2 linked regions of the Caenorhabditis elegans genome follow. The protein of the gene in region 1 interacts with the protein of each later gene in a pairwise test. Each region holds a gene or a part of one and is shown in the gene's direction. Other genes may lie near its edges.

Region 1 (3,784 bases):
GATTTCGATCTAACAACGTTGAATGCCAGTGGCTGGCCGCTTCTGGAACAGCTCCTTCGGATTTCTGGATTGAAAATCAATGTGAAAAACCTAAATTAGAACTTTTTGAGTATTTAGAATATTTACAATTACCCATCAAACATATGCACTGAAGACCAGAGAATAGAAGAGAAAATAAAGGTGTAATCAATGTCTGGAATAAAACGCGGACCCCAAGTAAAACTACAAACGATTGCAAGAACAAATAGAGTTTGGCTTATGGACTGAAATTATTATTTAAAACAATCTATAAAGATCAATATTACCTGTTTCAACAAGCTAAGTTCTTTTGAGTGCTTTTCTGTTTTTGAGCTAATTTTTAACACTTTTCCGATAGCTAAAAAGTCCAAAATAGTACTGGAAATAGTCAATGAAAAAACAAGATAAAAGTCTAAATAAGTTGCATAAAAACGACAAACGTCTCCTCCAGAATAACGAAATGCTCTTGTTTCTTGGTCATAAAAATTTTGACATCCCACTGCAACTCTCCCGTCAATTTTAGTTGACATTAAACTAACCTACAAATTTGAAAAAATAGTGTTATGATTGTAAGTGCGTAGGAATAAATTCCCATTACTATACAAAACGTGAACAAAACACTAAACATCATACGATAAAGCATTGGTTTATACACTGCTAGAATTCTGTTAAGGGATATCATGAAATGAAAAGTTGTTGAAGCACTGTAGCAAATCATAAGAACATATCCACAAACACTCGAATAATTTGATAAAATATCGCTCTCGCTGAATGGAATTTTTATTTTAACTGTTGGCCTCGCTGAATGAAAAAAAAAACTTGTTCAACTTACAAAAATACCATTGGAGTTGCATAGAATAAGTAGAGCGCGGAAAATGTTCCATCAGCAATCGCTAGACCAACAGTTAAAATTGCAAATGGTTTTTGCAACTTTGTAACTTTTATCATTATAATCACAATTGCCCAATTTATTGTAAATCCACAGAGGGAAAACTGAAGGTACATCAATTTGTTTGAGCTACAATAAAATCTTACCAAAAGCATAATTGCAGAGATTGTTGTCACGGAAATCATGATTGTAATTTGCAGCCAACAGGAAATGAAAAAGTTAATGTTATGAATGAGAGAGAAATATCTGGAAAAATTGAAACTTTCTTGTCAGGCTCGAGTCACCTGGGCCGGTGGCGTTCAGCTACAATACAAACATAGTTTCTTTCACATTTCGCATAGATACAATTTATTTTTAAAAAATCCGTTAGGCTATTAACTAAATGTTTTTATACCTAATTTTTTAAACTTTGAAATGTGTTTCAAAGTGAGTTCAAAACTAAAATTTCAAACTCTAGAGATCCCGGAAGCTAGGAAATCCCAGAAGCGAGGCAGCAACCACTGTAGCTCTATACAATCAAATCGAAAAAATGTTCGGGTCTGAAAACCAACTTATGTCATGCATGACAAATCATGTAAATTAAATTAGAGTCGAAATTTGTCGTTCTTACATGTCTACGTGTCTATGTGGTTCATTGATTCTTTTGATTTTCGATTAGCTAGAACGGTTCAAAAATTTAAACAAAATTAAAAGATAAATCTTATAAAAATAGATTGCTTATCGCTGTTTGCCCTTGAAAACTAGTTCTCATGTGCGAACCTTGCGTGAACAAGGTCATAGAGCAAACTCAAACAAGACCTCTCTTCTTTGCTTGCGCAATACTACAATTTATTCCTGTATTAGCTCGGAGTTTTTTAGTGACTCGATAGCTTACTTGAAGCTTTAGGCGAACGCTTTTGCGCGCGGCCGCAAGAGAGAGTCACATTTAGAAGAGGATCAGGAAATTAGGAACTGGAACCGGTTTACTGAGCAGCTGGAAAAGTCATATAAAAGAGAAGAACAGAGCTTCATTACCATCCGATTTCCTCGGTTCGAATCATTATTAAAATGCGCTTTACTTCACTTTCTATTGCGTTCCTTGCATGTGCCCTTGTGGTATCTGGAAGTGCAATCCGTGAAAAGAGACAGTGTGGATGTGCTCAGCCACAGCAGAGCCAATGCTCGTGCCAACAAGTTCAACAGACTCAGTCATGCTCGTGCCAATCTGCTCCAGTTCAACAACAATCCCCATCCTGCTCATGCGCTCAGCCACAACAAACTCAACAAGTTCAGGTACAGTTCATTAACATATTCGCAAACCATTAAATCAAAAATTTTAGGTTCAATCTACTCAATGCGCCCCAGCTTGCCAACAGAGCTGCCAACAGCAATGCCAGGCTTCTCCATCAGTGTCCCAGTGCCAGCCACAATGTCAGCAACAGTGCCAGGCTCAATGCACTCCAATGTACAACCCACCAACCACTACTACCACCACCCAAGCTCCAGTTGTCCAATACCAACAGTGCCAACCAGTATGCCAACAGCAATGTCAATCTACCTGTGTTCAACAACAACAACCAGCAGCTCAATGTCAGCCACAATGCCAACAACAATGCAATGTTGCCTGTGATTCCCCATCCACTACCACCCAGGCCCCACAAGTGATCCAAATCCAACTCGAGATCCAACAAGCTCAAGCTCAATGCCAACCACAGTGCCAGCAACAATGCCAATCTTCATGTGTCCAGCAACAGCAACAATCCAACCAGTGCGAGCCAGCTTGCAACACTCAATGCTCTGATATCTGCCAACAAACTGCTCAGGCTACCCAACAAGTCTACAACCAGAACATGAACCAGAACACCAACACTCAAATGTACAACCCATACAATACCAACACCAACCAGAACGCTAACTGCGCTCCAGCTTGCCAACCAGCCTGCGACAACTCCTGCACTTCCCAGCAGACTCAGCCAATGTACCAACCATACGACACCACCACTGAAGCTCCAGCTCAAGTCATCCAGATTGTTCTCCAGACTTCTGTTGCTCAATCATCCCAATGTGCCCCACAATGCGAACAATCCTGCCAACAGCAATGTGTTCAGCAACAACAGCCAGCTGCCCAGTGCCAAACTGCCTGCCAATCATCATGCTCTAACTCATGCCAAGCTGCTCAACCAGCAACTACTGCCTGCCAGCAGAGCCCACAACAGAGCTCCTGCTCTTGCCAAGCTAACTACTCTCCATGCGGAAATGGACAATGCTGCCGCAGAAAGTAATTTAATTGTTCCTGATTCTTGATTTTTGTATATACCGAAACAATTCAGTTTCAATAAACGCATAACTTTTTAAACCTTCTCGCTTTAAAAATCTGACGTGACATAAAAATAACCAGAATAAACCAGTTGTTTTCGAAACACAACATGTTTATTTAAAAACTGTTAGCGTCTCTTCTTCGACTACATTTTTAGAAAATCTCATAAACATTTGTTCAGTTGGCATTGATACAGGTTTACGTATGTTCTATCTATTTCTGTACTCATTGAAAAATGCTCTCATCAAAGAAATATTTATAGAAAAGTTAGATTTACAAGAATTTTCTAGCTCGCCAGCAGGAGTTTAGAAACTAGAGATTAAAAAAAAAAAGCTCACTGATGAAGTATTTTAAATTCAATTTAGTTTCAAATCGTTTAGGTTCACGACTTTACGTGTTTCACTACCACACTGTTCCTTCATTACGAAAAATGTAATACGACCTTAGAAGTTAAAATTTATTTTAGCTTACAATTAAAATTGCTACATACTTTTTCTGATAATACTTGCGAGTGATAACTTTATAGCGATATATCAAAAATGTTTTCCATTTTCATTAAAATTAGTTTTACTTTTTTAGAC
Region 2 (4,844 bases), on another chromosome or scaffold:
CTATTTAACTTAGTAGATCCCAATTTTTTACCTCCTAAAAAAGTTCTGTGAAACCTGATCCAACCTTAATTTTTCAGGTCCAATGTGAGCACCAATGTCTTCCTAACAATCCGAACTGTATGGCAGCTTGCCAAACGACTTGTTACCCAGTATGCCAATCGAAAATGCGTCGTCGCATGAAAGAAACGAAAAATCAACGAACTGAAGATTTTGCTCATCGTCAGTGAATAATCAATTATTTATTTATTGATTCGATTATTTTGTATTTATTTATGTACCATCAGTATTCTAATGTTTTTGGGAGTAATTTAAGATTTTATGGTAATTTGCAATTTGACGAGTTAGTCAATGTATGTAGCGAATAAAACGTATTGAATTCAACAAGCCATTATTTTTATGAACGCCAAGTCGGCCATCCCAATTTAAAACATCCAAAATCCCAATATATATTTTTGTACTTTGATACAATAATTAATTGTGTAAAGAAAATACAATCAGAATACAAATTGACATGTATCATTTCGAAAGTTCCCATACAAGAAAATTATTACATTTATCACTTGAAATTAAGTTGGTCCAAATATGTTAGAGCTAAAATTCTATTGAGCTCACTATCAGGACTCCGTTTGTTCAAACATCTTTATTTATTTCAGTTGAATAAAAAAGTTGCCGAGACATTTGAAATATGGTGATTGAATGCAAAATCAATTGCACGTTTTTCCGTGAAGAGTCTAGACAGTTGGGAAACTTGGAATGATAGCTGAAAATATGCATGTTCCCTCAATAATGTGAACCGCCATAAAAAAGTTATTGGAAAATTTCAAGACGTCTCATTGCGAATTTCAGGCCATTTGATACCTTCAAGTCTAATAGGGCATTGTCCCAATTTTCGGTACTCCTTCAAATCTTAGCAAATCAATAAAACTGGCAAAATAAACAAAAAGATACATTTATAAACGGCCTCCTATTCCAACCAAAATGGAATATTTAAACTACTTTACTAGTCTGTATTTTTAAATCAGTACTTATATTCTGTAAGTTCTAAATTAGTACAGAACACAATATCTCAGCATTTCTAGTTCAACGACAACGAAAAAACTTATAATTTCCGTTTAAATTTGTATCAAATTGAAACCTCCGTCACTATCTTCATCGAAACAATCCCAATTTGGTTCACCCCTTTGCTTTTTCCTGCCACTACAATCATCAATGTATGCTCATCAATAATCATCCTAATCACCAGCTTAATCACACAATGTCCTTTCTTCTCAAGCATGCCCCCATTCTAAAAAACAAACATCGGTGGAACAGACAAGAGGATGACCCCCTTCCGTCCTTTCCGAACTCTCCAAATTAGTGCCGATTTCCTTCCCCGCAAAAAGTTCGGGTAGCTCTCCAGTCGATTCAAGCGGCCAACAACGAACATACATTGACAATTTGTACATGGCGAAATACAAACAAACAGGATTCAAAAATTGCCTTGGGAAGCCATGGGGGCTCTCTCGTCCAGCAGGAGCACCAACGCGTCAGGCTGTCCTTTTTGCCGCGCGGAAATGCTCCGCCTCTGAGCGCGCATTCCGCGAAGCTTTTACCGCCCTCCTATCGCCCCCTCCGGAGAGCTCTTCAAGCAGTAAGAGAGAAGCAGAGTGAGAAATAGATTTTGAAGGATTTGTGTGTGTGTGTGTGAAGACTTATTATATACCATTTCTGTCTGTTAATAATCTTGTATCCGTACTCTTATTCATATTGTTCATCACTTAAATTCATATACAGTAATCCAATCCCTCCTGGATCTGAGAATTAGGAATCAATCATAAAATCTTCCCGATGGGACGCTCGAATTCTCTTCGGCTACTATTCTTATTCTGCCTTCTTTTGGCACTTTCTACTGCTGCGGTGAGTTTATTTTTGGTTTTTTGTTGGTAGTTACTTTGACTTTATTTGCTTTTGAATTGTTTGCTCGTAACTTGACCTGCTCGGTAAACTGGACTAATTAAAATCCTTTTGAAACTTTTGCGGTCAACCACTGTTAATTAGTCAGATATTTGTCTTCTCACAAAATTAAAGAGTTTTATAACTTATTTTATACGAACCATCTCTTATTAGCTTACTTTGGTTTGGTAAATCTTTATTTTGGGTGTGAACTTTGGTATTAACTGTATCGAACATTAGGTAACAAGCCTTCAATGTCTGTAACATAATTTGTAAACTAGATTGTGTTTCTTTAAGAGTCTTTGTTGCAAGTTTTAAATTTTGTGAAAATACCGTTTTTATCAGTATTAGAAAAAATTAGTTCTCTGCAATTTCTGAAAATCATTTTCTATGGATTTCTATTTTTTCGAAAAAATAATTCTATTGAAAGTACATTTTTGAAGATTACAAAACTTCAATTAGTCTATCCCTACAATATTTTATGTTGTGGGAACAATTGATGGGTTTGAAACTAGAATTTGATGACGCAACATTTTTTTTTAATTTTGCAGCTAGTGAATTCTAACAATTGCAGACTTTCTCTCTAACAGATTAATCAAAAAATAAATTAAAATTGTTTTGACCTTTTGGGAGCAATTTTATTCTAATTGTAGGAAAAATAAAAAACTTGTAAAAAAATTCAATTTGAGAATGGTTCCAATTTGGTTTTGACGGTTCAGTTTTACCATAATCCATTATTTCAAAACTACAAGGAGACAATCTTGGAAAAACGAGTCATGTTAGTATACCGGCTCTGTGACATTGATGCCTACCTGTGCGCCTACAGTATTTTTGTAGTCGACTGCAAAAAGCATGGTATGAATGTAGTAGGTCACTTTCAAGTCGAGTTTAATGCCTACATTGAGTGTCTGGTAAAAATGCTACTAAATATTGCTCTAGACAAACTCACCATTAAATCATGCATTAACCCAACTTTATTTCGAAACATTTTGATTCACATGGGCCAAAGTCTAAAGAATTTTGACAAAACTCCGCCCCGATTCTTTGACCCGATTCCTCTTCTTTTTATTCCAAATCGAGTTTTCTTCCCAAAAAGCCTGCTCATTCCAAGACAGTCAAACGAAGGTTTCTATTTCAATTTAGTCGGCGTCTCGTCCATTTCCACTGGCTCCAAGGTCTCTGTGTTGCGCGAGAGTTTGTTTCTATTGTCAGGCAAAGGTGAACACAATGAAAACAGAAAGTAAACACCCATTCGCCAGAGAGAGAAAAAGATTCGGTTTTTCTCCCAATTCTTTAACATCATGACCCCGTCATACACACAAAATGTCTGGTGAAATGGAAATTGGGTGAGAAGGAGAAAACATTTGAAAATTTAGAATGTTTCTTCTTCTTCTTCTTCATGGGATGGTGAATTAACAAAGGGATGCACAAAAATGGAAAAAGCGGAAACAGGAAACATCTGTTTTGAAACCGATATTGTTGCGAGAAACCGTAATTCGAAAACCGGAAGATCCTTCCATTTTTGGATTACTAAAATTACTAGACATCAATAAAAAATTAGTTTTTTTTAACTATAGCTTATGCTTCAATTTTTATTGGATCCAAATATTTATTGTTCACACATAGTCTCTTGGCTCTGGTACATTCTCAATTAAAATTCAGTAAAAACCCCGCAGCTTCCTCGAAATAGCGTAACTTTCTGTCAAGCTTTTTGCAATTTTCTGACATTTTCCTGATGAGAATCTTTTCCAGGAACTTACCTCCAGCAACTTATTCGATCATATCTTTAGAAATTGCCTAATTGTTTGCAGAAAGTTGATCCAAAATCCCGAGTTCACCGGGAAGGCTAAAGAATTTCCAAACTTTGAAAAAATTTGAACTGAACATTTTTTCATGCTGCCAAATCTTGATTATGTATCTTACCTCCCGTAAACTTTTTTATCTGAAAATCCACAAAATCTCCAGGTATATTGCCGAAACCGCCTCAGACCCACACACACGCAATAGTTCGCCCCACCAAGTCCTAATGTTTGATTACCGGGGGCGTCGTCTTAAAAGAGTCAATAGATGAATGACCAACCGGGAAATCGGATATCCGATATTCGAGAATGATATCGCCAAGGAAATGTGTGTGTGTATGTGTGTGTGTGGGATAAGGAAAGGTGATAAGGGGGCCCACTTATCAATTGTCACCTTTTCAAGAGTTTTGTTGCACTACGTAATAATAAAATCAGCGATTTCCGTATTTGGTTGGAGGGAAAATTAACGGTCTCCTTTGAGCAAATGGAACTAGATAAAAAATAAAATGGTAACCTCACATTTTGGAAATTACTTCAAAATTGAAAAGCAAAATTCAACTCTTTTTGATTTCTCTGTACAAGAAGTTCCTAAAATTTTTATCTATTTGAAAACTATTGTTCGTTTGGATTACTCTACATTACAGTACGGATTACAGTACGGGAGTGTTGTGTATTCGAAGGCGAGACGAGGAGAGAAGACGAGTAGTTTATTACATTACTAAACTAAGGAATAAATAAGTTAGTTCATAGAGTTCACGTTGCACGATCTTCTTAGCCACGTCGTGGGTCAATACACGTTGATACCCAACAGGGAGGGTCACGGTAACAGTATAAATTGATGTTCTATTTGTTAATTAATCATCAACCAACTCAACTTTAAGTTAGAATTTCTATGACTTGACATACTTTAAATTGGCATTTGTTGGGAAAATGTGTCTTTTTACACAGTAGTACAACTGTTTACACTGTTACCGTACCCCTACCGTACCCAGCCACAATGTTACAGTAGCACCAGTAGCATTCAAGATAAATTTTGCAACAGTACTGCTACAGCATTCATACCGTACTACTACAGTAACCCTAAAGTGTCCCGTCATAAATCTTAATTACAGC

What was found. The genes of interacting proteins can lie anywhere in the genome.
Region 2: the proteins of abu-15 (region 1) and appg-1 interact in a two-hybrid assay, tested with the Caenorhabditis elegans proteins (one large-scale study listed by BioGRID).

The regions. Positions count from the first base shown.
Region 1 is NC_003283.11:5,156,669-5,160,452, forward strand, and holds abu-15 (Activated in Blocked Unfolded protein response), read left to right. Parts: upstream 1-1,933; 5' UTR 1,934-1,954; coding exon 1,955-2,179; intron 2,180-2,226; coding exon 2,227-3,168; 3' UTR 3,169-3,239; downstream 3,240-3,784. Other genes in the region: srx-39 (G-protein coupled receptors family 1 profile domain-containing protein), read right to left, coding at 1-90, 133-263, 306-517, 562-785, 851-1,011, 1,054-1,092.
Region 2 is NC_003280.10:10,324,467-10,329,310, forward strand, and holds the start of appg-1 (Activated in Blocked Unfolded protein response), read left to right. Parts: upstream 1-1,827; coding exon 1,828-1,896; intron 1,897-4,844. Other genes in the region: idpp-4 (Intrinsically Disordered Protein, expressed in Pharynx), read left to right, coding at 78-227.